Arabidopsis thaliana: one gene and its partner. The protein of the gene in region 1 interacts with the protein of each later gene in a pairwise test. Each region holds a gene or a part of one and is shown on either strand. Other genes may lie near its edges. The genes, in order: AT5G49990 and AT4G08570.

Region 1 (17,934 bases):
GAAAAGCTTACATTACTTCCCTTCCAGGCTTCGAAGACCCGTCCAGCCATTAGAATCAGCGAACGGATCAGACACTCCTCGCTACACTCTCTGACGAATTGGAGGATCCTGAAAATTTTCTACGCCGATTCATTTCACATCAGAACTCCGCCCAAAACCTAAGTGTTGTCTCTCTAGCAACAAAATTCAGGTGGGTGAGAGTAATTTCCAAAACAAAATTGTAGTTTTTGTGTGGTGCGATCTCTTCTCTTCTCTTCTCTTCTCTTCTCTTCTCTTCTCTCTCTCACAAAAGGCGTTTCGTTTCTGGATTGTGTCTCCCGAGACGAACATTACAGTTTTGTTCCTTCATTTTTTTATTACGCATATAAAATTATTTTTGTAATGTTTTAAAAACCGGACCGGTCCGGTCCTGCAGACCAAGAATCGTTCATGTGGCTGAAATTGGGATGAACCGGTATCTGGTCCGGTTTCTAAAACATTTAGCTGCAAGATTTATTCTGAATGGCTAGAGACATGTATTCAAAACTTATAAACTGGATGGGACTACAGTATATCACATGTCACTAGTTCTATGCACAAAAGTCAGGAAATGACAAGTGATAAGAGTCTTAATCATGAAACAATAGGCAAAAATTGCTACCATATTGACAAAAGACTGCCAAATATCCCACCAAATCACATGTCTGTTTGGCACGAAAACAAACATCTTTAATCATTTGTAAAAAAGTTAAATTAATTGTGTGTTTACCATTATAATTGGCCTATCATTGAAAATGGTTATTCAACTTTCCCATTTATGATTCTCTCGGCCACACGACTCACAGATGAACAATAACAACCACACCGACAAAATCTTATAGAAAAAGAAGAAGCAACTACATGATATAACAAACAGCTAAACGACTGAAATTAAAATTTCGCAATCCATCTTAATCATCAACTAATATGAAATATTCAATTTGCATTTTAATATCAATTCCTTCTCTTGCAACTCCGAAACATTATTTGGTTTATCTTCCAACTAGCAACAACCTGATCCCTTTGTAGCTTGACAAGAGTACCACGGTCCAATATGTCTACTACTTTGTTTAGAAACCAAGTCCACTTGCCAATGCTAATATGTCTTAGGTATCCTACAAACAAAGAACCTCATGCTTCTCGATTTTTCGCTTCCATCTTCAATGATTTAAGGTAATCAATGGCTCTATCGATGACTAAGATCGGGTCCACCAGTTCCTCCCCGGGGACTACACTGCGCAAGAGGCTTACAGTCTCAAATATCTTCTCTTCTCCTATCTTGTTACTAGACAGCTTAGAACGTTTCAGAAAACTAATCCTTGTGTTGTCACAACTACCACAGCTCGATTCAGCGTCCCGCATACTCTCATTCGAGGTTTCGAGTATCTTTCTCTTTTTAGCATTTAATGGTTGTCCATAGCTTCCAAGAAATGTTTTTTGGTCCTCACGGCCTGATACTACAATGCTTGGGGAATGGTCTGCGCTTGTAACCTCATCTTCTTCAGAGCAATAACCACTCTCATCTTCAGAGTAAAGCAATGCATTTAGTTCTTCCGAATCCTCCTTCAAATCCGGTTCGCTATTTCCTTGCATTCCGTGACAAACAAACAAATCTTTGTTGCTTCTTTGGAGCTCTTCCTTCATATCAGGACAGGCATGCTGTTTTAGGGTCTCAAAAGATTTCCGTATATCGGAAGCGAGTAGCAAAGTCGTCTGATCTCCAGACTGATCAAACACTAGGAACCTCTTCTGACTACATTGTTCCTCAGCTTTAGATATAACACCGTCTACTTGAAGAGGTACTTGCTTCATACATTGGTTTTGAGGAGGCAAGAACTGCTGCTGTAGGTGGGATGACCCATGAACCCATCCACAATACCCATCAAAATAGGATTGAGAGACTTGGGTAGAAACTTGATAAGATCCACGAGTAGAAAACATGTCGGTGGTGTCGCCGCAGGTTTTAGATACTAAATTCAAGTCTTGCTTCCCGAGATGAGACAGAGCTAGGGAAGACAAGGAACACAAGCGCTGAGTAGGAAACCCAAACCCACGATCTTGTCCCATCCAACACTAAACAAATCAACTATCCAAAACAGAGGACATCATCATCTCAAACAAATCAGCTACTTATAATCAAGAATGGGAGGTCAAAAGATTATGTGTGCAAAGACTGGAACTTACCAACTAAATGGATAGAAGAAACTAGGCTTGAAACAAGAACGATAAGTATCGAGCTACTCTACGTGACGGGCTTCAACAATTGACGGAAATATTCAGCCTGCAAAATACACAACATCAAAGCTAAAACGAAATCAATAAAAAAAAGTTCTGGTGGTTTAAAAATCTAAATATATTGCAATAACATAAACTCATCAAACAAGAAAATAACCTGGCAATCTTGGAGAGGTTGAAAGCATGCAATGACTCTAACTACAATGTTTCCTGTGATACCGTGTTCGTGTTTGAGTGTACGAAATCTTGTCTGTCCCGCTGATTGACAAACCATAACTACTTTCTCCCCAACTGATTCCTTCTCCCAAAACAGAGTATCCAAACGAAGTCTTAAATAATTTGGCGGACAAAGTAAGGGAATGTGAAGAAAAAAGACGACCCCATTACATAAAAAAGCTATGTCTGAAGTAAGATCGCAGTTTACAGAATCACACGACAGAAGACTACTACTGTACGAAAAACATAAGCAGAAAGACACAACCACCACCGCATGCTGTTGCTTTGTTGCTCTTTCTTGTTTTATCTCTGGAGTCAATCTCACTACTTCAAATGAATCTGCAAAATAAACGAGAGCAATAGATTTAGTGCTAGCAAGAAACAGAACACTTTAAAACAAATAACTTAACCTAGAAAAATATGCACAATGCATATTATTACAGAGTTTATAAGTTCTATCTCGAAAACTGAAGATAATAGAAACTCACAAAAGTGGAATGCAAGAGAAGCAAATAGAAGTTCTAAGGAGGAAGCAGAGAGATATTAGTTTCAGTGATGGCGAAGAGAAGTTAGCGAGGAAGAAGATATATACAAGAGAAAAAGACGAAAGTGACCTTCATCATAACAGAGATGCGTGCGTGCGTTAAAGTTTAGGTATCGTGATGCCACAGTGTTTACCAAATCCGATAACAAATGTTTTTGGGAAAATTAGCTGAATTTGGTGGGTTCAAAATCTAAATAGTTGTTTATTTTTCTCGATGTAATTACTAATTAGTAAGATATACTCATAATCCATATTGTTGTTAACATGCTTTTTCGGCTTATTTATATTTGGCTAAAAGATATACATTTGCCCATTTGGTGGAAAAATAAATTATGCCAAATAGCTTGTTTTGGTTGGAAAGAAGAATCAGTCGACTTTCACTTTTCATCACATGTAAACAAATTCAGCTAACGGAATCTAGTATCTTTCAATTCCACCGAAACACAAATATCATTCACATAATATAAAAATGATCATCAATGAAGCTATACAAAAAAAAAAATCCATTTGAAGCCAAAGTATACTTACTTCATGCAATCATGTTTTATAAGACGCTCGCTTATGTATTTTGTTGGTTTCGTACTTTCGTTCATCGTCAGTAAGAAAAGTAGTGAAAGTATCCAATGTGAAGAAGAAGAAGGTCCAATCATTTCTCAAATACTCTCGTTTGCAATGGCTTGACCGTTCAAACCCCAAATCATTTCTACTTTTACTTTTTACCTTTTTGCACCCTCCATTTCCATCTTCTTTGGGTTTCACATTATGTTTTGTCTTCCCATTCTGGTTGGTCTATTTTCATATGGATCTCCAAAACACTTTCGTGGAAAATGTATCTATTGCACTTATAGTGAAAAAACGATGAAATATGTGACGATAAATATAACAAGAAGAAAGGAAAATCCTACAAGACAATTGATTGCTCTTCATCTTTTCTTTATTATAATCTCTTCCAAAATATGTATATTTTTCTATATATACTAAAGTGTTAAGAAAAAAAAACAAGCTTCATTATCATTATAAGACTTCCGTTTTCACTATAGAAGTAGGAACGGTACAAGTCATACTCACTGACTTATAAAAATACAAACAAATAATGATAACATAAGAACATTATTATTGAGATCATAATTTATGACCAATCCACAATAATTTATATTATGAAAATATAAATTCAATATTAGATACTGTAAGATAAGTTTCGAAGGACAAAAAAGGAGATAATTTCTATACAGAAACCCAAATGAACAACCTGCATCACCAAAAATTACCAAGTTAGCCAAAAAAAGTTTTTTTAGCTAGTTAGCCAATGACTTAATCGTATATTATCAATCATAAAACTTGATACCAAAATTATCTAAACCTAATTAATCCCCCAGAAGAAACAGACACGTTCTCTCTTGTCAGAAAATGGCACTGACTAGTAATAATTATACCCAAGATATTTTTCATTGACAATCAAAGACATCTGAAACTATATTCAATAGTGATAGATGTAGAAGACCCATGATTTAGTAACCTGAACCAAATCTTTGATGTACAGATAAGAGAGATCTGGTTGCTCACAATCATACAAGCAGAGTAACATTTAATATTACCACGCCAAATATTTAAGTTATACAAAAACCATTAGGATAATATTACTAATCCGTATAGTATATAAATTAGGATTAATTAAAAGTGGATACACTTAATCCTTACTGGCTTTAATGGTGTCAGGGGCCCAAAACAAACCCTCCACCGTTTCTCTCTTTCTGTGTGTCTCTAAAGCAATCATCATATCCTAGGTCCACCATTTTTATACACATAAAATAACACTCTTCTCATTTTGCGTGGTTAAAAAAAATACACATATATGAGATGTTTTTTTTTGATAAAGACACATATATGAGATGTTGATTTGCTATCTTTTATGTTCTTCAATTCAACAAATGTTCTCGAAAAATATGACATAATAAACTGGCTGAATATCAAGATCATAGTATAATGTGCTCCAAAATGTTGGACCGAGAGTACTTATATAACATCTATATAGTTTACATATATTCACAAAACGCATTAAAAATGCTACATATCACGACTTCAAGTCTTCTAGCATGACCGTGTTTTGTAATGGGTTTCAGAGAATATTGAAATTTAATTTCCTTCTGAGTAAAGGAAAACACGCATGGGAGATGAGTTCACATTCTTTAATTCTTAGATAAAGCAACTAAGTGGGTTTATAGTATAATTTAACTATTTAAGTACACGGAATTAGAGTTATAGTTGAGGAAGAGCTGATCATGTTAATTATTTTTAAATTTTAAATTAAAAAGAAATTTGTACACCTTAAAGGCGAAAATAAAATAAAATTGAGGAGCTTCTAATGGCCACTCCCAAATTTCAAAAGGTATTCATTTCCCATATTTTCGGCATAGAAATTCTAGCTTTTGTTTTATATTTGACCTTTTAATTTGATTTGGTTAATATGTAACGAACATGCGATTATACAATACATTTAAAATAAAAAAAAAAAGAGAAAAGAAGAAGAGCACCATTGTGTATATGCTTTATTTGAGAGAATATATATATTTAATATTGATCTCAAGAAGAATAGTGAAGGTTTTGGTAGGGACAACAGACAATGCATGGAGCCATTTGGTACGTGGATACGCCAACAAAATCATCCACGCTTCGTGCAATTTAAAGCAACCAATACACTTAACCACCACTCTAAGTTCCATTCCTCAATCTTCAAATCAATTGATTATCATATGTATCCCATACGTGTAAGCGTATGTGAAAATAGATTTGGTTCAATTTATAAAAAATAAAAAAGTCAAGAGACATGATTGGATCCACTTATCATTATACTCTATATGCTGACAATAGAACAATATTTTACATAGTATAACTCGGGAGTTGGTCGAGTTCATAGCATCAAAGCGTACTTCAAACACACACTGAGTTGTAACAAGCATGTCCAATTGTTTAGACATGCCACAACCGATATCTTCATGTCAATATCAAATCAAGATGAGAAAGATCGGCTTAGTTCTTCCTAATATCTTTTAACTTCGTAACATCAATTTATATTAGTAGTTTATCCATAGTATGTGAAACCAAGTTGGAAAGACCAAAATCAGAAGTATGATAAACTCCACATACGACGTCAAAAATGTAGATGTCGAAATTCACATACTAATATTTTTGTATTTAGGTTTACGAGGGAGCTCAAATCTTTGATGGGCCGAACATCCAGAGTAATGGGCCAAACTTTTGCACTCACTATTCTCGTCAATAAAATGGTTGGTACCAACACTTATTTTGATAATAAGTGATGATTATTGTTTTTGGAAATACAAAACAAAAAAGTATTTATTTTATGAAAGGAAAAAAAGAAATGTAAATACAGATACATTAGCGTCGAGGCAAGACCATGTGCTCACTCACATGCGGTCTTCTCTTCTCTTCTCATCTTCCCTTTTTATGATTTTCTTTTCCCATTTTCCTCTGCGTTTGATTATCTGAGAGAGAGAGAGAAGAAACTTGTTGAAACAAAATCAACAACAACTTATAGAAGACCAAAAAAAGATTCATAGGATCTTTTGCTTGACAATGAAAGAAGGAAAGGATGGGTTTGTTCGAGCAGATCAGATTGATCTAAAAAGCTTAGACGAGCAACTAGAGAGACACTTAAGCAGAGCTTTGACTTTAGAGAAGAACAAGAAGAAAGATGAAGAAGACACAACCGCCGTCGCCATCGGTGGCTCTGCTTCTTCTTCCCCTGTCACTCTAAACGGCGGCGGATTTGTTGGCAAGAGGAAACAGAGACTTGAGTGGGAGATCGATCCTTCTAAACTTATCATCAAGACTGTTCTTGCTCGTGGCACTTTTGGTACCGTTCATCGTGGTATCTACGACGGTCAAGATGTTGCCGGTTAGTCACTTTCCCGTCGTTCTAGCTTCCTTCTCTCATCGAAACCTTTCCCTTTCATTTTATATTATTAGTTTGTAACTGTGAAATAATGCTAAAGTCTTCAAGTTTAGTTTAAAGTCTCGAATTTAAGAATGGATTACTACATTTGTACTTGAAATGTCGGATCCGAAACAGGCTTTGTACTTGAATAGTTTAGTTCTGTGTTCGTGTTTTTTGACCATGAAACTTGTTAGATTGAAAAAAAGTTTGGATTTTTAAGATTAAAGTTGCTGAATTGTTTTGGATTTGAAGAGTTTTTTTCTTTAGAGGGTAGAAGCAAATCTTGTGATCTCCGTGAAGCCGACACGGGTTTTGCTATCATAAGTGTTTCTTCAGCTACTTGAAAGGTCTCTACTTGGATAATTATGATTCTTTTGCTTTGTGGATCTTTCATGTGATTCCAGCTGTTGTTGTCTCAATCTCTCTTTTTCATGAAATAAATTTTAAAGAAAAAAAGAGTGAATAATAGATCCCTTGAATGCAGTAACTAAAGAGCTTTTTTACTGTTATTAAATTTAAAGTGAAGAAATGAGCTAATCATTGTGGTGAAATTGAGCAGTGAAGTTGCTTGATTGGGGTGAAGAAGGTCATAGATCAGAAGCTGAGATTGTGTCTTTGAGAGCTGATTTTGCTCAGGAGGTTGCTGTTTGGCATAAATTGGATCATCCTAATGTCACCAAGGTTCATATTTCACTTCTGTTTACTTTTTACCATTGTTATATATTGAGGATATAAATAAGATTTGGGTCATCAATGAATGTATATTTTGCAGTTTATAGGAGCAACAATGGGTGCATCAGGGTTACAGTTGCAAACAGAGAGTGGTCCATTAGCTATGCCAAACAATATATGTTGTGTTGTTGTTGAATATCTTCCAGGTGGTGCTTTAAAATCTTACCTGATCAAGAACAGAAGAAGAAAACTAACATTTAAAATTGTTGTTCAGCTCGCTCTTGATCTCGCTAGAGGGTACATTATATTCTCCCTTCTTTCGCTGCCTTCTCAAGTCGTTTATCTGCTCTAATGGTTATTGTTATGTTGCTTTTAGGTTGAGTTACCTTCATTCGCAGAAGATTGTTCACCGAGATGTAAAGACAGAGAATATGTTGTTAGACAAAACCCGGACTGTTAAAATCGCAGATTTTGGAGTTGCGAGAGTTGAAGCATCTAACCCTAATGACATGACAGGAGAGACTGGCACACTTGGCTACATGGCGCCTGAGGTACTATAGTGATAATGCATCATCAAGATTGGTAACAAACCAACTTTTTATAACAAATAAACTTTGGCTGCAGGTTCTCAATGGAAACCCGTATAATCGAAAATGCGATGTATACAGTTTCGGGATCTGCTTATGGGAGATATATTGCTGTGACATGCCATACCCTGACCTTACTTTCTCTGAGGTCACTTCAGCCGTCGTCCGCCAGGTATGGTTGAATAGATTAAGCAAAGAAAAGTTAATTTAATTGAAATGTGCATATTGGTTGTTTCACAATTATATTTTGTTGTAAATCTTGAGGAATCACTGAAGTAAAAAATGTGATCTAGAGTAGTGTAACCATTTCATCATTTCACTGAAGTAAAAAATCTATATGCAATATGCTGCTACATATGATCAATGCAGAACCTGAGACCCGATATACCGAGGTGTTGCCCGAGCGCACTTGCAGCTGTGATGAAGCGATGTTGGGATGCAAATCCGGACAAGAGACCGGAGATGGATGAGGTTGTACCAATGTTGGAGAGTATTGACACAACCAAGGGAGGAGGGATGATTCCTAACGACCAGCAACAGGGTTGCCTATGCTTCCGAAGGAAACGTGGTCCTTAATTCCCAAAGACCAATCTAAGATCATTCAAAACTCAAGATTCGTGTCCTTGCTTCTTTTCTTTTTCTTTTTATAATCCAGAAGGAAAAAAAATGGGAAGGCTTGTTAGGGATCTAATGGTTGCTAAAATTTACGTAAAGAGTATGATTTGGTTTCCATATTCTTCAACATTTCTTGTTTTGCTCTATTTGTGAGAGTTGCTTATTAAATATTTATGGTCACGTATATCATCATCTCTAATCATATATTTGATATAGCTAGTCAATGGTACAACTGTTCTTTTTGTCTTTATGGGTTAACCAACTACACTCGACAGGAACATCCTATTTGATATATATAGTCCAATGTTCAGCTATGATAAACCTCACTTCCCATAGAAGGACCATTAGGTTGGAATGCATAGTCGAGAAACAACTTTGTTGAAGATATTATTGCTACTTCAGTATTGTCTTTTGGTTTAATAGAGTAGATCTAGTCAATAGCTACTAATCTTAGCTTAGTCCACATTTCTTTGCCCCATTATGGTCTAATCTTAGCTTAGTCAACATTTCTTTGCCCCATTATGGTCTTTTTGTAACCTTAGGTTATCTTCTCTCTTTGTATAACTATGGGTCTAACGCCTCATTAACAATAACACAAGTTAACAATAACGTATTATTGAGACTAGAAGCTTGTGCTAATAATGTTTCTTAGAAGTCTAGTGTTTAGTGCCAAATTGTATAGTGTGTTTAAGAACACTGATTATAAATAATAATAGCAGTTGGCGACACCACAATGAAACTATATCTATATCATTCATTCATTACCAAACAAATAAATAAGTATTGTCTTCATTGTCAAAAATTTAGTAATAAGAAAAAAGCGTTGGGGAACTACTAATGACAAATGAATTAAGAGTAATGACAGGTAAGAGGTTGTTTTCGTGGTGACGTCAATCGGTGCACAAAGTAACGCTGATATAGCGAAACGTAGACAACTGTCCCCTCTGCTCCTTCCTCATCAAGCCTCTTCTCTTCACTGCTTCTTCTTCTAGTTTACTCTCCAATTTTCTTCTGCTGCTGCTTCTTCACAAGGTTTCTATTTCTTCTAATCTGTGTATAATCTCTCCTCTCTGCTCTTCTTACTTAAACAGAATCATTTTTAAAACTCTGCTCTTGATTTTAGCTTTAAAAACGAGGTCTTTTTGTTGGGTTTTTGTTCTGTTTCGCCTTCTTTCTTCATTTACGAGCTTTTTGAGCTTAAAGTTCGTGACTTTTGCTGCTTTCGTGATTTGGGTTTCAGTAACTTTGCGGTTTATTGAAGTTTTTTTGGTGTAAAGTTACAACTGTGGGTTTAGCTCAAAACGAGGTCTTTACCTCTGTTTTTATGTTTTCTACTTATTGAGCTCAAATTTCGTAGCTTTTGATTCTTCTGTGATTTGGGTTTCAGTCACTTTTCGGGTTAGTGAAGTTTTTGGTGTAGAGTTTTGGTTTTTATTGTTTTTGCAACTGTGGGTTAGCTCAAAACGAGGTCTTTTTCTTGTTTTCTGCTTCTTGAGCTCAAATTTCGTGAGTTTTGCTTCTTCTGTGATTTGGGTTTCAGTCACTTTCTCGTTATGTGAAGTTTTTGGTTTAAAGTTTTGATTTTTATTTTTTTGTTGCAGAGGTTGAAGAATGTCAGCTCCGAAATCGGGTGGTGATCCACTACCACATCCGCCGAAAGAACAGCTTCCAGATATCTCTTACTGCATTACAAGTCCTCCTCCATGGCGTTAGTTTCTCTCTTCTTTTCCTTTTCCCTTAACGTTTGACTTCTAGCTTTTGTTCTAGGCATATCCCTGGTTTTGAAGCCTTGTGATTGATTAGCTTCTTCCATTTTTACTTTTTCTGATTTTGGTATCATTTACTTTTTGCTTTTTGTTGCAACGTGAGGATTGGATTCTTACTTTTCTCTTTAAGAAATATTCGTTTTTACCTTGAGAATCTCCTACTAGGTGTTTTGAGGATCATTCTTTGCTAACAAAGGAAATTAAACTTAATCCACCCCTTGGTTTTGCTATATGTTCAATCTAACTTTTATTTTTAGTGTTACTGTATGTTTCTAATTTGGTAGTTGGTTTTTGAATAATTCTTGTTTGAATATGAGGTTTTAAGCTTCTTAATTAGTAAATGTGAGACTGAGTTTATTCTTGTCTTACAGCTGAGGCTGTTCTGCTTGGGTTTCAACACTACCTTGTGATGCTTGGAACAACAGTTCTGATTCCATCGGCTCTTGTTCCACAAATGGGAGGTAGAAATGTAAGTTAAGTCTCTTTTCTAGAAAGATAGTTGTTCACATTATTCTTTTCAGTCTTTCATTGTACTTAAAGTTTATGATTTTGGCAGGAAGAGAAGGCAAAGCTGATCCAGACAATATTGTTTGTAGCTGGATTGAACACACTGCTCCAAACTGTGTTTGGAACTAGATTACCTGCTGTTATTGGAGCATCTTATACATTTGTCCCGGTTACTATCTCAATCATGCTTTCTGGGAGATTCAATGACGTTGCAGATCCAGTTGAGGTTCGTAGCTCACACTTATCCCCTAATTGAATTGTGTTATTATCTATTTAGTGTACTATCACTATCAATAAAGTTATGCTTGAATATGAAGTTTTACTCTAAATTACCTTTTTGATACCTTATCAGCGATTTAAGAGGATAATTCGGGCAACCCAAGGTGCTCTTATTGTTGCTTCAACTCTTCAAATTATCCTTGGCTTCAGTGGCCTTTGGCGTAATGTTGTAAGGTCAGTCTTTGAGCTACATTAGACTCAAATCTTGTTCCACTGTGTCAGGTTAAAGAATATGATATTGAACTTCTGTTCGTCCAGGTTCTTAAGTCCACTATCTGCTGCTCCTTTGGTTGGATTAGTTGGTTATGGCCTGTACGAGTTAGGTTTTCCCGGTGTAAGTCTCTTTGTTCTGTAAATGGGAACAGATAAACTAAATTATATCAACCTAGTGGAATCTTGATTCTTTGTTATTTTGGCCAGGTTGCTAAGTGTATTGAGATTGGACTGCCTGGGCTTATTATTCTCATACTAATATCACAGGTAATTGTAGGTAAAGATTCATAACTGGTAGCAATTTGCAGCCGGCTCATCTGTTCTCATTGCATAAGTTATTGATCCGGATGTGTTCTTCCAGTATGTTGATGTTTCTAATCATCTGGGTCATACTTTTTGCTGGTTTTGTAGTACATGCCCCATGTTATAAAAGGAGGAAAACATGTGTTTGCTCGCTTTGCTGTCATATTTTCTGTGGCGATAGTATGGCTTTATGCTTTCTTTCTTACACTTGGTGGTGCCTATAATGGTGTTGGGACAGATACTCAAAGAAGCTGTCGGACTGATCGCGCTGGGCTTATAAGTGCTGCTCCATGGTAAGAATTTCAGAACAAGGCTTGAACATTGAATGTCTCGCTGAGTTATGTTAGCAAAAAAGTATTTTCTTTAATGACCTGTCAGTGAATACAAGTGTGGCTTAGCATTTTACGCTTATTAATTGTGCAGGATAAGAGTTCCGTGGCCTTTCCAATGGGGAGCACCATTGTTTGATGCTGGTGAAGCATTTGCCATGATGATGGCTTCTTTTGTTGCTCTTGTTGAGGTTTGTTTCACTCATCTTCACCTTTTTTAAATGACATTAGACAATTATTTATGATATGCATAGATTTTCATATCCATTTATATAGAAAGGCTGTCCTTAATAGATGAATTTCATAGGTTGCATACTCATTAACTTTTAAAGTCAATGAGACTCTCTCTTCATTCTTTCGAATTTTCTTGCTCTTTGGTTTAATCTCATCTTGCTTACTCATTATGTTGACTTGTTTGTCAACAAAAAACAGTCCACAGGTGCTTTTATTGCCGTCTCAAGATATGCTAGTGCCACAATGCCGCCACCTTCTGTTATCAGCCGCGGGGTTGGTTGGCAGGTAAATACTCACTTCATAAGCTTCATTTTACAAATACCATCTCGAGGTTTTCTCGGGGCAAGCAAGTGGCCATTTATCTAACGTTGTGCCTCAACTATGTTCTCTTCTGGTTTAGGGAGTTGCAATTTTAATCTCAGGGTTGTTCGGAACTGGTATAGGGTCTTCAGTTTCTGTGTAAGACCTCCTATCCTTTTCCCAAATCTAGGACATGAGCTGATTTTGAATGGTGTGGTGAGTTTGTTTTCACATGAATGCAGCGAGAATGCGGGTCTGCTGGCACTAACAAAAATTGGTAGCAGGAGAGTTGTTCAAATATCTGCAGGCTTTATGATATTCTTCTCAATTCTTGGTAAGCTTGTCTCTCTCACAAAAATTCATTAAGAATTGAAGTGGACTACGTTAAGTAATCGTCTTAAATAAAACTAATGCAGGGAAGTTCGGGGCAGTATTTGCATCCATACCTTCTCCTATCATAGCTGCCTTGTACTGTCTCTTCTTTGCGTATGTAGGTAAGTATTGTTTCTTTTTTAGCTTGGTTTAGATTGAAGCAATTTGGTTCAGATTGGTTTGCTTACCAACATATAGAGCTAGAGACTTGTTTTAGCTATGAGCATCTTTAATACAAAAACTGTTGTATAGGTGCTGGAGGACTGAGTTTGCTGCAATTCTGCAACCTGAATAGCTTCAGGACATTATTCATACTGGGCTTCTCAATCTTCCTAGGCCTATCAATTCCACAATATTTCAACGAGCACACAGCCATCAAAGGCTATGGTCCAGTTCATACCGGGGCAAGATGGTTCAACGACATGGTCAATGTGCCCTTCTCGTCCAAGGCCTTTGTGGGAGGATGTGTGGCTTACTTGTTGGACACGACGCTTCACAAGAAAGATGGTTCGATCAGGAAAGACCGAGGTAAACACTGGTGGGACAGATTCTGGACTTTCAAGAACGACCCGAGAACAGAAGAGTTCTATGCTCTTCCGTTCAACCTCAACAAATATTTCCCTTCTGTCTGAAAAAAAATCCTTCCAAACTTTATGGAATGCTGTTTTGCTAGTTTTGTGTCCCTTAGGAGGACACACCTTATCTAGCTAGGTTTTATGTGCATATTCGGTGAGGAGACTATAAAACGCAACTAGATATTATAACCCAAAGTGTTAAGTAACATTTTAGAAATATTAATGTGATGTTTCTTCTATGTTTAGATGTTTTGCATTAAAGATGATACTCGTTTTGCCAAATTTAGAACTAGAGTATGTATGCTCTGTTTTAATACAAATGATTAAAAGAGAAAATTTTGTGAGTTTTGGAGGCTTTTCGATTCTAATTCTATAACAAAAAAAATTTCCTACAAAAATTTGTAATGCTAGATTTGACGTTGAAACTCTTATGATATACTTTTGAAGATAAGTAGGGGTTCATGTGCTTCATTCTCTGTCGTCCATTTAAACACTTCTTTGGTTGCATATAACTAGTTGATAGGAAGTTAACGATAACTAAAAGTCTAAAACAGATGGTTAGCCACAACGATGAGTATTTGCACACAAAAAACAGAGCCTCAATGATGAATGGGTTTTGTATTTAGTTGTGTTATACTGTATTTGTTTTGTTTGATTGGTAGAATAATATGTGCTTGTTTGTGGCACATATATAAATACATTTTTGACTGATAAAATTTAAAGACGTCATTAGCTAAATCGGTTACCACTTACCACCTTAGGTTAAGGTATAAGAAGTTATAAACTATTGTGAGTTACTTAATAATAATCTACGGATCAAAAATGTTAGAATCCAAAAAAGTGCACTAGTTCGAAATCATTTATGCGGGTCTATACATATAATTCGTAGGAGGTTACTTGAAATGATCCCAACCAATTTGTTCATATTATCTATGCTTAGTGATTTGGTTTAAGACAAAAAAAATTACCCTAACCAATATGGTTAAATTCTCAACTTATCTCGAAAAAAGGGTAGGCAAGTGTCCTACACTATAGAAATGGATAATGTTGATTTTATTGTTTTCTAATTAAAACATTGCTAAAATAGAGATCTGAAGAAAATAAAGAGGACGAAACTGTAAAGTGTAAAAACATTGATGGAGACAAGAAAGCAGAAAAAAAGAGTTACATTTTACTTTCTAGTAAGAAAAAAAAAACATGAATATTAATTATTTTTGTACATAAATATAAGAAGACAAAACAGAAAATTAAAAATAAAAAATAATCCCCAAATAATGGAGACGAAGTGGAGAGAGAAAGCTCCCACTCTCTCACACCCCAAAGCTTCTTCTTCTTCTTCCTCTTCTTCCTCTTCCTCTTCTCTAATCTGAATCCAAAGCCTCTCTCTTTATGACACAAGATCGCTCAGAAATGTCTGAAGATGACGATGACCAACAATCTCCACCGTTGGATCTACCCTCTACCGCCATAGCTGATCCTTGCTCATCTTCCTCTTCACCAAACAAATCTCGTAACTGTATCTCAAATTCTCAAACTTTCCCTGACCATGTTCTCGAAAACGTACTTGAGAACGTTCTTCAGTTCCTAGATTCAAGATGTGACCGTAACGCTGCTTCTCTAGTTTGCAAATCTTGGTGGCGTGTTGAAGCTTTGACTCGATCTGAGGTTTTTATTGGTAACTGTTACGCTCTTTCTCCGGCGAGGTTGACTCAGAGATTCAAGCGTGTTAGGTCTCTTGTGCTGAAAGGGAAACCTAGGTTTGCTGATTTCAATCTCATGCCTCCTGATTGGGGTGCTAATTTTGCTCCTTGGGTTTCTACTATGGCTCAAGCTTATCCTTGTCTTGAGAAAGTTGATTTGAAGAGGATGTTTGTTACTGATGATGATTTAGCTCTTCTTGCTGACTCTTTTCCTGGGTTTAAAGAGCTTATCTTGGTTTGTTGTGAAGGTTTTGGTACTAGTGGTATCTCTATTGTTGCCAACAAGTGCAGGTAAATGTTACAACTTATTGGATATGAAAATGCTATCTTTGAGTAATGTTTTGATAGTTATGAACTTATTGGATATTAATTTGTTTTCAGAAAGCTGAAAGTGCTTGATTTGATTGAGTCTGAGGTCACGGATGATGAAGTGGATTGGATCTCTTGTTTCCCTGAGGATGTAACTTGTTTGGAGTCTTTAGCTTTTGACTGTGTGGAAGCTCCTATCAATTTTAAGGCGCTTGAGGGTCTTGTTGCTAGGTCACCGTTCTTGAAGAAACTTAGGCTAAACAGGTTTGTGTCTCTTGTGGAGCTACATCGTCTGCTACTTGGAGCTCCACAGCTTACTAGTCTTGGGACTGGTTCATTTAGCCATGATGAGGAACCTCAGAGTGAGCAAGAACCAGATTATGCTGCTGCATTTCGTGCTTGTAAATCTGTAGTTTGCTTGTCAGGGTTTAGAGAGTTGATGCCGGAGTATCTTCCAGCTATCTTTCCGGTGTGCGCTAATCTCACCTCCCTGAACTTCAGTTATGCTAACATTTCTCCTGACATGTTCAAGCCCATCATACTCAATTGCCACAAACTCCAGGTGTTCTGGGTATGTATCCTTCTTGATCTATGTCTTCATGGCTTTATTAAGTTATATGTGACTTAACTCTAGTGACCGTATTGTTTGTGTTAGATGGATAGAATGAATAAACTTGATATTAGTTGTGTAAGGAACTTGAGTAAAATGCATGACTTGAACTTTACAATGCAGGCCCTTGATTCAATATGTGATGAAGGACTACAGGCAGTTGCAGCCACTTGCAAGGAACTCCGTGAACTCAGGATCTTCCCTTTTGATCCTCGGGAAGACAGTGAAGGTCCTGTCTCTGAATTAGGCCTCCAAGCAATCTCCGAGGGTTGTAGGAAACTAGAATCTATTCTCTACTTTTGCCAGCGCATGACTAATGCCGCTGTGATAGCCATGTCAGAGAACTGTCCAGAGCTTACTGTGTTTAGGCTGTGCATAATGGGTCGACATAGGCCTGACCATGTAACAGGAAAGCCTATGGACGAGGGATTTGGTGCCATTGTTAAAAACTGCAAGAAGCTAACTCGCCTTGCAGTGTCGGGATTGCTGACAGATCAAGCTTTTAGGTATATGGGTGAGTATGGGAAATTGGTCCGTACGCTTTCAGTAGCTTTTGCAGGGGACAGTGACATGGCTCTGAGACATGTCCTAGAAGGTTGCCCTAGACTGCAGAAACTTGAGATAAGGGACAGTCCCTTTGGAGATGTTGCATTACGGTCTGGTATGCATCGCTATTACAACATGAGGTTTGTTTGGATGTCAGCATGTAGCTTGTCTAAGGGATGCTGCAAGGATATTGCACGAGCAATGCCGAATCTAGTTGTGGAAGTAATTGGATCGGATGATGATGATGACAATAGGGATTATGTCGAGACTTTATACATGTATCGGTCTCTTGATGGTCCAAGGAATGATGCACCAAAGTTCGTCACGATTTTATAGAACGAGGAGCATTTCCGTGTTTCCGTTTTTTAAGACGGGAATGAAATGGGTAAGTGTAGGAAGCTCAGATGATGATGGTGGTGGCATCAGAGGCACACTACATGATTGTTGATGATGAATGATGGTGGTTGGGACTTGGGAGGAATGCAAGATTGTTGTATCATTATTTTCTTTTTTTATTTTTGGGTTCAAAAGATGTTATTTGGGTGGTTAGGTGGAACAGTGGATGTATGTTTTGGGAGCATCGGTGTTAGTTAGACAGCTGAGTTGGTTCTAATAAGCTGCACTTTTGGCTCTCTCTAGTTGTTGTTGTTGAGAAACTAATGAGACATCTCTCTCTTTTGTCTTTCCCATTTTTAATTAATTTTGAGATATTTCATCTTAATCTGTTTAAATTATGTCATTTGTCAGCAAACTATAATGTAACTTCAAGAAAAGATCATTTTGATTCGATTCGATTATTTGGCTTCGTTCGGTTAAAATGTGGTACGCGTAACTAAAATGTAGGGTGAGGGAAAGTGTGGTGGTGGAGAGATATGAGCTAAGGTTCTTATCCAAAGGAAGACCTCTCCTTTTGCCTTTTGTTGACAAGCCATCTTTGTCCCCAAAAGACTACATATTTTCAACTGACAAGAGACCCATCATTTATTTCTTAAAGGTCATAACCAAAACTGAAATAATGCAGAGGATGGTGACAAAAACATATGATGGTG
Region 2 (14,932 bases), on another chromosome or scaffold:
ATCTCATGGTTTTAGATGGAATTTGAAAAGATTTTACAATAAATCACATCAACTTCCCTCAAATCATGAAAATCATATAAAAACTCACTAAAACTCAAATCATTCAAAATGTAAGATATTATGCCATATGTGTTACAACATTGAATCTAATACCGAAGGGAATGTGTGCCAACAATAGTAATACAAATGTGTATATATATACAACACCAAAACCAAAGATCTAAACATCTACCAAAAAGAAAATGAAAATGAAAAACCTATCCATCTTTATGTTTGTGTTTAGCCTTTGCATGTTTGGCCATGTATCGAGAGCAAGAATCAGGATCGCGAACGAGCTCAAATTCAAGAAAAACCTCTGGATGAGGTGTTATTCTAAAGATGATGTATTAGGTCCACATATAATACCAATCGGAGGACATTTTCTAGATTATTTTGGCACTAACTTTTGGGGTACCACCCGTTTTATGTGTACTTTGAGACAAGGTCCTAACTATATACACTATCAAAGCTTTACGGCATTCAAGCTTTTCAGTATGGAGGATCATGGAGGCCTATGGGATTGGAGAGCTAGAGAAGATGGGATCTATTTAAAGAAAGAAGGTAACAAGTTTATTAAAAATCCGGTTAATATGCATAAAGTGTATGATTGGATAAATTAAAATTCTTAACAAGCTATCTAAGAATAATAATTAAAAAAAAAATCTTATGATTTTAAAAAAAAAGCTGTATAAGAAAAAAAATTCTCAAGTTATATTATGATTTGAAAGTAAAAAAGAAATATACATTTATTTTAAAATTAATAAAAGGAAATACTTGTTTTATACGTGTCAAAATCTAAGATCAATAAAATTAACACGTGGTACAATCATATGAGTTCCTAATTTTGAAATTCATACTTTATAAAATAAGATTTACCTTAGCATCTCTAATAATTATCGGAACCTGATCTTTCATTTCTCAACATCTCCTTTTACTAAACGCATCTCCAAGTCGTCGTGGTCCAAGTCTTCTCCAATGAGCAATCAGAACGAAAGAGTGGCGGCCGCACCGTTTCAGGAAGCCGTGGAATCTCCCGCTCAACGGATTTTGTGGGAGCGTCTCAGAACTTACGACCATTCGTTTCCCTTGAGTGATTACTCACCTGAAACCTTATTTTCTTCTGATTTGCAAACCCTAGAACATGAGTTTAGAAGATTTGGTGTCTCCGAACTGGACCGTGGGGATCAAGGTATGACCGATCGTGTGAACTGGTTTCCTTCAGATTCTCAGCAAAACACTGGACGAGAACAGAGGAATCAGTCAGAGATTGAAAGATAATTATGTTAATGGGTATGATGCTCTTAGGTCTTTTCATGAACGTAGTCGTAGTGCTAGTGTCATGGGTTCTCCATACGGAAATTTAGAAGACGTTCCTTATTTACCAAGTAATCCTTTCTTTGACCAAACCCCTTGGAGTGATGATGCATATGGTTATATGTATGGAATCCGCAATACTCTATTATCGCGTGCTAAAGACGGTATAGAGTCTCACATGTTGCAATATGTGATTGCCAAGGGTTTAAAGGAGACAATTGATAAGATATTTGACAATTTGATCTCACATGTATGTGAATTGATGCTTGATTATTATGGCCATAAAGTCTTTCGAAAGCTTATGGAGAAATGCACCGATGAACAGATCACTCGGGTTTTGGATATAGTCCTTGAGGAACCTTTTGAATTTGTTAGGCTTTGTGTCCATACACACGGGTACGCATTATTCTTATGTCCATTTCATTTAGTCTCACTAATACCATTCATGTGACTTGTTTTTTTTTGTTTTTTTCTCTCTTATGTTGGAGATAACAGAACACATGCAATACAAGGTTTGATGCGTAGTCTTTGTTCTGAAGAGCAAATATCTCGGTTCATGGAAACTCTATGCTATGTTTCACTTCTATTGACCAAGGACGTTATTGCTCATCGTGTGATTTTGTTCTGCTTCAATCAATTTTCTCCTTCACATACCAGAGTAAGCATCTTTACTTCTTTGTTCCTCAAACATTATTTTATAGCTAATAGAGATTTTCACCAGAATTCTTATAACCAAGATTGTGAATACTTAAATTTCCAACACATTTTTGGAATTTTAGATGGCCCGATTCGAACTATGAACTTGTTATTTCATCAAATTTGGTTTTAATAATCTCGCGGTTACATAGCTTTCAAAACTTAAATTGTTTTGTGTGTGGGAAAAGTGTAACAAAGGCTTTCGAGCTCTCTTGCTTGTGTTACAAGAAAATGAGTAGTGGTAGACCATAAGTATTAATTTTGTAAACCGGTTTGAACTTGTTAATATATGCTTTTTACTGATCATTTTTCATGTGTGGTCTCTTCTATATTTGACAGTATCTTCTTGAAGTGATTGTTCAAAATTGTTATCAAGTTGCAATAGATCAAAATGGATGTTGTATGCTTAAAAAATTGATTAGACAATCCTCTCGAGAGCTAAGAGACCCTTTGATTAAGGAGATAATCAGTATTGCTGTAAGATTATGCGGGAATTGCTACGGGTAAGATAAGATTCTTTTATGATTTTGCGTTAATCATTGTATAAATCACATTAAGTACTCTTACACCAAAATCTCTATTGGTCAGAAACTACGTGGTGCAATATTTGTTGCGTTTGAAAGATTATGAGGTGACAAGTGCTCTCTCGAAACATCTTGATGGAAATTACGTGCAACTCTCTTATGACAAGTATGGGAGTCACGTGGTGCAGAAGTGTTTGGAAAGTAGAGAATTTTCCTCCAGGAGGATCATAGCGGAGCTGCTAAGTGACATTGATTCACTTCTTGTAGATCCATATGGAGATTATGTGATTCAAACAGCGTGGATTGTATCCGAGGTAAGAGATAAACATGATGATTCGGAGTCGTTTTATGTGGATTTTTACCAACTTATATTGTGGTTGGTGTTTTGTAGGATCATGTGCGACATGTATTGTTGTTCTATATAAACAGAAATGTTCCATTCATGAGGTGCAATGTATATGGGAGAAAATTACTCCAGAAACTCAATATTTGGACATAGAAGAACATCTACAAAGAGAAGAGGAGTCCACAATTGATAAATGGTGTTGGTGTTGGTGTTGGTGTTGTTTTTGTTTTTGTATTTGTTTTTGTGTTTGTGTTTGTGTTTTTATAGTTAATTAGAAAATAGGTAGGCATTTTTTGTTAGATTTATCTTTCATTTTAGGCATTTTCGATACTCTTTGCAATGTAAGAAGACTTTTCTTCACTTTTTTTTATGTTTCATAAAGTTAGGTGTTTTAGAGTTTGCATACATATGTGAAGCAAGTCTTGTGTGGGAAGATTCTCCTTTCATTGTCATGTTCTATAGAGGAATAAACTGTTTTCTTACAAGCTGCACATTTGTCCTGTGTTTGGAATTGAAGTAATTAAATTAGAAAACATTGAAGAATAACAAAAAGAGAAAACAAAGGAACGTTGAAGAATTATGTGCATACTGTTTCATTCGATTTCTCGGTCTTTTCTGCTGTAAAACATCAAGAAGAGAAAGTAGCCAATATTGTTAGCTTTTTCAACAGAAGTTAAAAGAAACAAATCTAAAAAAAACTAAGGAATTTTTTAAAAATTATTTAGCCTTAAAATAGAAGAGGAACAAAATTAACGTGAAGAAAACTTATAATTTTTTTTAATCTTTAATATATTGAAATTAATTAATTTGTTTAGAGAATGTAGGAAATTCAAATACTAAATTAATCAGTTCAAATTTTTGGATATTTTGTAATTTTGTTTCGGTCGAATATAAGATATTACACAAACAACAACTATATAAGTTCCTTTAAATCAGCTCAATCTTTGACTATTTTGAATATTTCATATTTTAATTTTATCAAAACCAACATCTAATATCAGTTCTTATAAATATATTTTTCCATCAAGATTTATCTTCACAAAAAATATTATGAACTAAACACCTTTTTTTCTTAAAAAAACAGTCGTTGGTAGTCAATCATGAGTGAAAGATAATATTCCTCTCTACTTATAAACACAATCTTGGTCTTCTACGTTTAGTTTCGATATTTTGATTCACTTGTATAATTTTGCTTTTGGCTTATTCATTTTACTTTAGTTTATTTGATTGATGTCTCTGTTTTCTTTAATCAGGATCAAACAGAGAAAAAATGGAAGCACCGGAACTCCATCATTAAGTTATAAGGGCCAATCAAAGGGCAAAGCTAAAGCTACTGAGGAACCGAATGTATCATCTTTTTTTATATAAACACATGTCACCATATATTTGTTTAGCTTATATGCTTTAAAATTATCAGTATATAGTGAGTCTTAGATATACCGAACTTTTTCTCCAACTTGTGAACACCGAGCTTAAATCGAAAATCTATTTCATAAGAGTACCCGATAATCCGGTGAAAGCAAAAATTCAGGAATTATTGAAAAATATGTTAAATTTAATTATACATTATCAGACATTTTATCACAATATGTATAAAATGTTTTTCCTTATTTGCCTAAGACCACCAAAAACCTAGGCACGCTCTGCTCATGACTCGTTGACCCGAGAACCAGCTTGGGAAAAAAGCCTCCGCGATTTGACTCGGAGTTTATGGTATCCTTTGAACTGGATCACACCCAAGTTATCCAAAATAAAAAGTGAATATACTCTAAACGAATGAATTATATATCATCCACTCATCAGCAGAATATTTCAAAACATAATTTAGCTATCTATAAAACCTCTTATTTAAATTCCTTATAAGTGTTAAGAAATCTCGATTTTCTCACGTAATAGTTGTAAAGCCAAACCCGTACACCACGACTCTTACGTAGGTACTATTACCAAAACCGATAATATATAATAGTATAATATAATCTATAGCCATATACTTAATTAATTTACAAAAGCACACTCTTCTACATGATAGCGCAAGAATTAGGGTTCTCGTCGCTAAACATAATAGTGTAAGAGTCATCGACGGTGGTCTCGTTGACAGAGGCCGTGTCGGGGACTTTCCGAACCATGTTTGGTGGTGCCTTCTTGTCATACGCCTGAGATATGTACGGATTCGCCACCATTGTGTAAGGAACGTACGGCCATAACTCCACTTTCTTCTTCGTTGACTTGGCAGCCTCCAAAACCTTCTTTGGGTCTATATATCCCGTTACCGTTACCTTCTGCAGCTTTACGTCCACGTCCACTGACTTCACCCCTGTCCAAACGAGTCCAATGCAAATTAAATCCAATTTTCATGTTTTTTTTTGTTAAATGTCACATTTTCTATCGTCCAACGAGTATATAAATTGGTAGTGTTATATATATTCAAAAACACATATTGTAATGCCAATATGTCCACTCGAGATTTAAAATTTAATTATACCCCATTCATATTATTTTTGTACATATATAGAAAAATCTACTTTTTTAAAATAAAAGTTGGCATTTAAAAAATGTTAGATATATCATATATTAATGATTTTCTTTGTCTATGGCTCTATGCTTTAGACGGGGCATGTACAAAAGTAGTGGAATGAATTTGATCCGTGGTTTCGACCAACATGGCAAATCTCTAACCATTATCATGATGGTTGGCTAAAACTGATTTTCTTTACCTTTGACACCGGAGAGGACATGTTTGATCTTACGTTCACAGCCTTCGCAGTCGATACGAGCAACACGGAGAGCTACTGTTTGCATTTGCTTCTTCTTCTTCCTCTTCCTCTTCTTTAAAAGGTCTGATATATACTCCATCGTTCCTTCCACTCCCATTTTCACTCACACCACTTCTCTTTGCAGTTTTTTTTTTTTCCTTGAAGATATTAAGAGGGAAAATATGTTCAAGGAGAGTGAAGATAAAAGTGAGGAAGAAAGGCTCTTTCTTTGTACCATATATGGTGCAGGGATGAGATTACATTTATCTACAGTGAGCGCATTTCATATAGTAAAGGAGATGTGACTCATGTGACAATAGCAGATTATTTGTTTATTTGTTGAGTTGTTTTTCTTTTGCTTAGTAAAAACAAAATAAAATAGGATTACATTATTGCTTCTGAAAGAACAAAACAAAGATCATTAATTGCTTTTGGGGTCTCGTGGAGGGTGCAAGAAACTTCCACCGAGGTGAAATGAAACTTTTGGCATTTAATCCATTATATATAGAGTTAATTTGTAAACTAGTCATTTGTTTAAACTTAATTGGAAAAATAGTCACTTTATTATTTATAATTTGTAAAATAGTCACTTTTCACTGTTTGATTCGTACATTTAGATTGTACACCACTTTTAGTGTACAAATATATATAAAAATATACAGCGTACACTTTACATTTGTACACTAAAAGTGATGTACAATCTAAGTGTACGAATCAAACAGCAAAAAATGACTATTTTACAAATTATGAATAGTAAAATGACTACTTTCCTAATTAAGTATGAAAAAGTGACTATTTTGCCAACACACCCTTATATATAACCCATGCAAGTTTGGGTGGGTAATACGTACGAATACTTTTTCAGTTTTTCTCGTTTTTTTGTTTTTTTGGCCGATCGTTGTTTGTTTATTTCTAAATAAAACAAATAAATAATATATTTATATTATATGAATTTTGATGGAGGTAATCTATATTCCAAATCATAAATATGTTGGAAAGTTTTAAAAAAAAAAGAAATATGTTGGAAAGTTTTAAAAAAAAAAAGAAATATGTTGGAAAGTTTAAGACGTCCATAAAAAACGTTAAAAAAAAAAGAAAAATATTTAACTTGAAATAATTATATAAAATATATGTGACATATTTACCAGTCTTTGCATTTTGGCATTCATAATTTTTTTTTTTGTAAGCGTACCATGTCTCGTTTTTATTATTTAAAATCTACTAATTCAAAAAGTGGGAAATAACAAAAGATAATGAGTATTAGTTTATGACTTATGAGATAGGGAACAGTCAAATGTTTGAAAAATTAAACGCAGACGTAAATAACTGAGGAGTGATTTATCAATTTTGGAGGACACATGGCAGTTAGTAATTGTGTGTCATGTTTCAACGGTAGACATTGATCCAAGTTTTTGATTGGGGTCAGTTGCATTTAAAATTTAAATGAATTGACAATAATATGTAAACAAAAATACAAATGAAAATGACATTCATGTAAACTCCGATTTGTTGCCAAGACATCTGGCTCAAAGTCAAAGTAGAATTGTTGATGCGATGAGAAGTTTTGTTTTCAAAATATGTATTTTAAAGTACCACCTGTTGCTATACAATTCATTGAGATTATATAACACTACTAGTAGAAATAAGCTTACCACAATTCAACATGTAGCGACTATCTGAAGAAAACATCCACTATTACGAAGTGATCTCTCGCATCAATCATTATACCAAATACAATTTATGGTGAATGAATAAAATCATCAGAAACTCTATATGTGTGCACAAAATTGCAACCACATGTTCTATAATAAGGAGCAATATCAGATTTAGTTAGAAGGAGGGGTTGCTTTCAAACTGTTTGTAATTAAGAGGCAGCAACTCTACCACTCAAGTTTTGATATGTCCCATTTCATTACATTATGAATAACTCATCTTGTTGATTGAGTACATGTGTCACCTTTATTTCCGTTAAATTGGAGTAATACATTAGTCAATATATAGTCAGTATCTTATATTCTTACATGGAGCAATATCTACAATTTAAGTAATAAATGAGGGAACCGCGCTCGTCCATAATTGCTTTCGTTGAACACAGCCAAAGATTATAGTATACATTTTGGCTCGATAACTATTTTTAATTATTCATATGGTGGATAGGCATTAACCAATCTATGCTAAATAGGTATTTTACGTTGAAATCACCATGAATCACTTGTGCTTAAGCGCATGATTCCAACTCAAAATTGATACTAACTTTGACTATGTGAAAAAGCTAGTTATTCTCATTCATAAATATTTCAACGTAAATAACCAATTTTGCATGTGTTTATAGTTTCAAAAGTTCTAGTTCACTAGCATCAACGAGGGAAATTTATCATCCATCTGACTAATTTATATTCAACTAATAGTTGCTATTGTTAAGGCCGGAATATGAGATTGTGTTTTAATAGATTTTACTTGGATTACGATCTGATTTAAGCTGAGAATGATATATAAACTATGTAGGATATAGAACAACGCTTATATAATTTTTACAATTATGACGTCGATGAAGTTAGGTTTTAAGAAGTCCATTTACCTTTTATTGATTAAATCAAATATATACATATGTAACGACACAGTTTCTTTGGCACATTCGCTAAGCTTTTTATTTTACTTTTGTAAAAAGCAACTTTTGTCAACTTAAGACAAATTAGTAGGTGACGAAAGATTGTGATTTATATGCATGCGCTCGACTGATATTGTATTGCTTTTTTCATGGTAGATCGAATCTGATTAAGTCCTTTCAATTTTTCCGCAATTCTCAACTACCACTAGACTAGAGTTGTATGGGCCAAAGTTTTCTTCCACTCGGTTAAGGTTCTAAAACTTTCATAACAATGTATCAAAATATTAAAGAATGAAATCATATGTCACAGTTTTATTAACGGACTTGTGGTTTATGTATGATTTCCAATATTTAAAGTTGATGGTTAACTCTCAAATCTTATGACGTCTTTCTAAGCCCAAGTCAACTCTCCTACTAATATGATATTGTCCGTTTTGAGCCAAGTGGCCAAGCCCGCGCGGATTTATTTTTGTCTTCTTTCCAAAAGGTATCACTACTAATTGGAATTAAACATGATTTATATATTAGACTAATATTTTCTAATTTTTTGATGTGAGACGTTGGTTTGTCTCCCAATAATTATCTCCTCAAACCAAACCCCGAACTTTAGGCCCTCCCCTCAAGCAAAACCTTAGCACCAGGCTCTGGCATTCCTTATTTGCAAGGACAACTTGAAGCACTCTTCTTATCGTGTTACATTGAGAACTCTTTCCATACCGAACATGGAGCCCAAACCCACCTCTTTAGGTCCACGTTTTTTTACATAGGCTCTAATATCAATTGTTGGACTCTCCAAGCCCAAATATTTTTCTCTAATATGATATTGTCCGCTTTAAACCAAGAGGCCAAGCCCACACGAATTTGTTTTTGAACTCGTAAACATAAACATGAAAAGAACACTATTTTATATTTAAATTAATTTAATAAATGCTCTTTTCTATAAATGGCTACACATATTTTTTCTCAGAAACTATAAATCAGTATTTCCTCTTACTGATATGAAATAGAATATAATTTATTTCAAAAATATCTAAACATTACTTAATATATACAATTATAGCTAGTTTTCTATATTATTATAATAATATGAAATATAAATAAATCAATTACAACTACAAAAGAATTTAAACATTTCTCAATATATAATAAACAACAATTAAAACTTATTTTACAATATTATTTTGAACCATTCCCGTGTGACTGTCTCTAGTATGATATATCTAAGGTTTTTTAAATCATATGCAACGATTTCAATTATTTTTTTCTAGGCTATATGTATGACTTAATATATTCGCTTAGAACTTCTCTTTTGGTTTTTGTCGTCAACCATTAAAAACATAATTTTATGAACTGAACAAAGTGAACCTTGAATATTTTTTACGGGGTTTATATGCTTAAGCTTCATATTGATTATATAGCAAACGTTGCAAAGGCTGTTTCTATAAACGAAACCCTACATCAAGATGATGAAGTCATCTCTATAACTATACCAATGTGTACGACTTAGAGTTTCGTTTATAGAAGAAGCATGTTCATGTATCGGATCATACATTTCAAAAACACGGTTTGATACGGCAACGACGACGACCTTTGAGGTTGATGAAGAAGAACGTGTCCCAATCGATTCAGGTGACTTTGAGTTTGTCTCCTACATGGACTGAGCTTAATTTTGATAGTTGCACATATTCTTCTTATAAGAACGTTTATGATGTCCTGTAAATCCCTGTTTCATGTGTCTTTTGTGTTTATCAATATGTTTTGTGTGGATTAGTGACTAGTTCTTTTTCTTCACAACGTTTTATATAGTAAGAGTCATGTTTTTCACAATATGGAAGTTAGAGTTGGAGCTTTATATGTGGCAGGAACATCCAGAGTTCTCCTATGTGATCTTTTGTGCTTCACCATCACAAAGCTCTAATACTAAGGTAAACATGTTACATATCTCTGTTTTGTAATGTTTTTTTACTTTAGAAAATCTAGCTAAAGTCAAGTGTTTTGTAATGTTTTTGACATGTTACATATCTCTGTTTTGCAATGTTCAAGTCAAGAGTTTAAGTTTCAGTTCAACTCTTGACAAATGCGACAAGATTTGACATGATATTGTTGGTGTCTCACAGGAAAAGTCACCAAGCAGTCTGTAACTTGAAAAACGAATTTAAAATCAAGAAGCAAGACTCTGAGATCTATGCTGCTAAGGTAAACATGTCACATATATATGTTTTGTACTGTTTTAGAATTTCTGTTTTAAGTACTTTTGACTTAAATGTTTTAAGTACTTCAAGCTAATACATAACGTTTCACAATATTCCTTGAAGCTAACACTTCATAGAAACAAGGTACAACTTCGTCAATCAACCAAACATAAGTTCTTCTGCCTCTAAAGACCGTGGGCCGGTCTGTCTAACTGTTGGGCTTTGCGGGGCGGGTTAGGACTCACTTTTCAAGACCGCGGTCGTCTGCGGTCCGGTTCGTCGCGGATCAATGGAAAAGCGAGCATGTTGCGGTCGGTCCGTTCGGTCGCGGGCACGCCCGTCTACCATCTCTAAAGTTATGTAAACCAAAATTCAATTCTTTTGTTTCACAATTACTACTCAAACTACATTTTTCATAGTTTTTTTTTAATAAAACTCGGTGTTATTAGTTATACTATTTGTAAATATCTTGTAATCTTAAGGTTATGGAACTAATAAAACCTCATATAAATTAATAATCGATAAATTAATACCCGATAAATTAATACATTTTTTCTGTCCTAAATTTTGTTTTTGGATCAATTGATAAATTAAGAAAATACCATAGTCTCATCTATATTAAATTATTAATTTATGGAAATTTTACTGTGTATAGTTTTAGGAAAAATATAAAAATAATAACAATTTTCTTAATTTCACAAAAAATTACTAAAATTCACGTTTAGTTGGAAATTTACGAACCGAAGTATTGGGCCTTAATGGTCTTGGGCCAACATCAATCTCTCGCCGTCAAGGTTACATTTATCGCCGCCGCTGAGACCGCCACCTAAGGGCCGTCTCCTCCGCAATCTCTAACCGAAACTCTCTCATCTCCTGGTAAGCTCGATTTTCTTATCAATTCGATCTCATATGATGTCGATCTGTTTCTACTGAAGCTAAATCTTGCGAAATCGATCTTTGTTTTGTTCTGAGATTTAGGGTTTCACGAATTTGTATTCTAGGGCTTTTCTCGATTAATCATTTCTATTGTTATTTGTTCTTATTGGTTCTTATGCTTTTGGGTACAGAAAGATATCGACTTTTTGTTGACTCTGTATGCAAATTTGTCAAAAGACAAAACTTTGTAACAGTTTACTCTCTTTCGTGCTTGTGTTTATGTATGAACAATAGCTTCGCTATTGGGATTGTTGATTTCACCACACTTGATTAAGTATGTACATACTATTGAAAATGTTATAGTTCGTTAAAATGTGCAATCTTCGAATTTCTCTAGCGTCCATTGTTCATGTTGGTGTGTTTATGTTGATATACTCACCCACACACACATCAATGATATGCATTGTACATAATGCATTTTGTTGTTGTCTCTTTAAGATTTTAGCTATTGAGGATCGATTAGGGGAAGTAGCTCTTTTCCTTTCCTTTTCTGGTGAATACTAATGATGCAAAGCTTGAATCTAATCCCTGTATTATTTTGTGCTGCAGAGACAGATAGCTAATTTGATTGAGTTTGGTTACTTGCAAGTGCAAATATGTCGGTCACAGCGGGAGTGAGTGAATCTGCAATTGCTGTAAGGGAGAAACTAAAAGGTGGTATTGGACAGACTAAAGTAAGAAGGTATTGGCCAGGAAAAGCTCCGGAGTGGGCTGAGGAAGCTGAAGAAGATGATGATGTTAGGATGCAGAAGTTTTCTGTTTTGGATAGAGCTTTTCCAAAGAATGATGATTTGGGTGTTGCTAGGAAGGATGATCCAAGGCTGCGGCGTTTAGCTCAGACTAAAGTTGAAAACCGTGACGAAGTTAGAGCTGATCATCGGCGTATTAGACAGGCTGAGATTATATCTACGGAAGAAGAAGAATCGAGGAATCAAGAGAATAGAGACGAGGATGATGATGAAGATGCCTTGGAAGAAAGAAGAAGAAGAATTAAGGAGAAGAATCTTAGACGAGCACAAGAGGAGGCTGCTTTACTTCCTTTAGAAGAAGAAGATGAGATACAAGAGGAAGAAGAGGAGGAGGAGGAGTCTGAGTACGAGACTGATTCGGAAGATGATATGCCTGGTATTGCCTTGATTAAGCCTGTTTTTGTACCGAAAGCTGAGAGAGATACAATTGCAGAGCGAGAGAGGCTTGAGGCTGAAGAAGAAGCTCTTGAGGAATTAGCAAAGAGAAAATTGGAGCAAAGAAAAATAGAGACAAAGCAAATTGTGGTTGAGGAAGTTAGGAAAGATGAAGAGATACGGAAGAACATACTATTGGAGGAAGCTAATATTGGAGATGTGGAAACTGATGACGAACTCAATGAAGCTGAGGAGTATGAAGTTTGGAAGACACGAGAGATTGGTAGGATCAAGAGAGAAAGAGATGCAAGGGAAGCTATGCTGAGAGAGAGGGAAGAAATAGAGAAGTTGAGGAATATGACAGAGCAGGAGAGGAGAGATTGGGAGAGGAAGAATCCGAAACCTTCTTCAGCTCAACCGAAAAAGAAATGGAACTTTATGCAGAAATATTACCATAAGGGTGCCTTCTTCCAGGCAGATCCTGATGATGAGGCAGGTTCTGCTGGAACCGATGGTATATTTCAGCGCGACTTCTCTGCTCCAACCGGAGAAGATAGGTTGGACAAATCGATTCTCCCCAAAGTTATGCAAGTCAAGCACTTTGGTCGTAGTGGAAGAACTAAATGGACTCACCTTGTCAATGAAGACACAACAGATTGGAGTAACCCGTAAGTTCTTTGCTTTTAGCGTTTCTTTTCTTGCATCTTGGTTAGGCATAAACTTCATAGCTCTCATTTTAGGCTTCTGAAATCTGATTTATTTAGCGTTTGAGTAGAAACAGTAAGCTGGCAACTGAACTAAATTATTGCATGTGAATGTGAACCTGTTTGTGTTGGCATGAGCTGCTGATTTTGATAATAATACTTACATAAAATGAATGAATGTGCAGGTGGACTTCCAATGATCCTCTACGTGAAAAATACAACAAGAAAATGGCAGGCATGGATGCTCCAATCGCAAAACCAAAAGGGAGCAAGAAGATGAAAGATTGGGAGACTTAAACCGCACCAACATTTACTTTGTTTGTTTTTAAAATCCAATGATGCAGCAGTGGTATGTGGTAGTAAAAAAACATCGTAACATCTTACTCAGTTATGTCTCTGAGTCCTCTAAATCCTAGTAATTAAAAATATTGCTCAAAAGAATGAAGACCTAACATAATTCATTATATACTTAAAAACTTCATTGCACCTTTTGAGAGCAGGGACAAATTGTTGGAAGCATACAAAAAAATATGAATCCGACTTCACTAACCAAGAGAACCTCAAGTTTCCAAGACTTGAGTAGTGAGAGAACTAGAAAAGACTGTTGGTAACAAGAAAGACAACTAAGGGATCAAACCAACAAGTTATTTGTCGGTGATTCTTCTAATACTGATATAAGATAGATGATGAACCAACGAGAATGATAAGGACAAAAAGGAGAAGACATGTCATAGCCATCTTCATTCTCTCCCTCTGCTCATGATTTGCAGGTGGAGGCTTCATCCATCTCCAACGGCCCTCGGCTTCCTGATAATATAAGCGTATATTATTATCAGCACAATACAGAAAATTCGAGATCTGCTCACGTCTCACTCGCTAACTGTTATAATTGGAACTTACATCAAAATCCCATGATGGACTTTCCTTTCTCTCAAACAGGTCTGAGGCCGTTTCAAGCTCTGGAATATTAGGCAAAGGTCTTGGACGATCTCCACTCTCATCACTGCAATATTATCACAGTGTTAAACTCAGAATATCGAAAAGGTGCTTCTAAGAAGTAGACCAAACCTGTTCCATGGAGCTGGCTCATTGTCACATCTTACAAACAGGTAACGACAGACCTTAAATGAATCCTATGGAATGAGAAGAACATGTCAATGCATATAAAGGGCAGGGAAAAAATTACAAGCTTGTTTCACTATATGTGTGTACCGGGAATCTAGCTTTTCGCCAGCATTTCTCGATCCTGTATACACCATCATATCTCACTCCTTCCTTAGGGGCATATGCAGAATACCTATCCTTGTAAGACCTAGATTATGGAAACTGATATTAAGAGTTGTATCTATGGAACTTAGCATAACTCTATTCTTCATTCAATGCAAAGAAAAGCAATACATTTCACCTTTGTGGTACAACTTTCGATATCGGAAACTTAACGAAAAAATGAGAATGTGAGAGAGCAATGGAGTTTTGTTCTGCTAACCTGACAACTCGAACTGGATACCCCATTTCGCAACTAACTCTTAAAGCTTCATTCAAGTCTTCAAACTCCTGATCCTCGTTAGCGAAATGTCTCCCTCTACTGGGTGACACATCCACATATATTCAAGACGAAAACAAACAAAAGTATGTCAACAAACAGGACAATAGATACTTCTAAACACATGAGAGAAGTAAAATCTACATGAGTCAA

Evidence for each region.
Region 2: the proteins of AT5G49990 (region 1) and AT4G08570 interact in a two-hybrid assay, tested with the Arabidopsis thaliana proteins (one large-scale study listed by BioGRID).

The regions. Positions count from the first base shown.
Region 1 is NC_003076.8:20,333,707-20,351,640, reverse strand, and holds AT5G49990 (Xanthine/uracil permease family protein), read left to right. Parts: upstream 1-9,605; 5' UTR 9,606-9,874; exon of another isoform or gene 9,875-9,894; intron 9,895-9,934; exon of another isoform or gene 9,935-10,443; 5' UTR 10,444-10,453; coding exon 10,454-10,550; intron 10,551-10,979; coding exon 10,980-11,077; intron 11,078-11,164; coding exon 11,165-11,341; intron 11,342-11,467; coding exon 11,468-11,568; intron 11,569-11,652; coding exon 11,653-11,728; intron 11,729-11,814; coding exon 11,815-11,874; intron 11,875-12,018; coding exon 12,019-12,203; intron 12,204-12,333; coding exon 12,334-12,430; intron 12,431-12,671; coding exon 12,672-12,758; intron 12,759-12,873; coding exon 12,874-12,932; intron 12,933-13,015; coding exon 13,016-13,107; intron 13,108-13,189; coding exon 13,190-13,267; intron 13,268-13,397; coding exon 13,398-13,777; 3' UTR 13,778-14,055; downstream 14,056-17,934. Other genes in the region: AT5G50020 (DHHC-type zinc finger family protein), read right to left, coding at 12-108, 400-431; AT5G50010 (transcription factor bHLH145), read right to left, coding at 1,150-2,085; AT5G50000 (Protein kinase superfamily protein), read left to right, coding at 6,608-6,929, 7,528-7,649, 7,741-7,937, 8,017-8,191, 8,265-8,399, 8,597-8,803; AFB5 (auxin F-box protein 5), read left to right, coding at 15,110-15,711, 15,802-16,300, 16,463-17,221.
Region 2 is NC_003075.7:5,450,186-5,465,117, forward strand, and holds AT4G08570 (Heavy metal transport/detoxification superfamily protein), read right to left. Parts: upstream 5,916-14,932; 5' UTR 5,791-5,915; coding exon 5,634-5,790; intron 5,234-5,633; coding exon 4,938-5,233; 3' UTR 4,395-4,937; downstream 1-4,394. Other genes in the region: PUM15 (pumilio 15), read left to right, coding at 249-531, 991-1,129, 1,456-1,749, 1,849-2,011, 2,389-2,552, 2,608-2,998; AT4G08580 (microfibrillar-associated protein-like protein), read left to right, coding at 12,005-13,200, 13,422-13,533; ORTHL (ORTHRUS-like protein), read right to left, coding at 13,900-14,043, 14,137-14,239, 14,305-14,369, 14,449-14,548, 14,723-14,821. UniProt on the Arabidopsis thaliana protein: Heavy-metal-binding protein.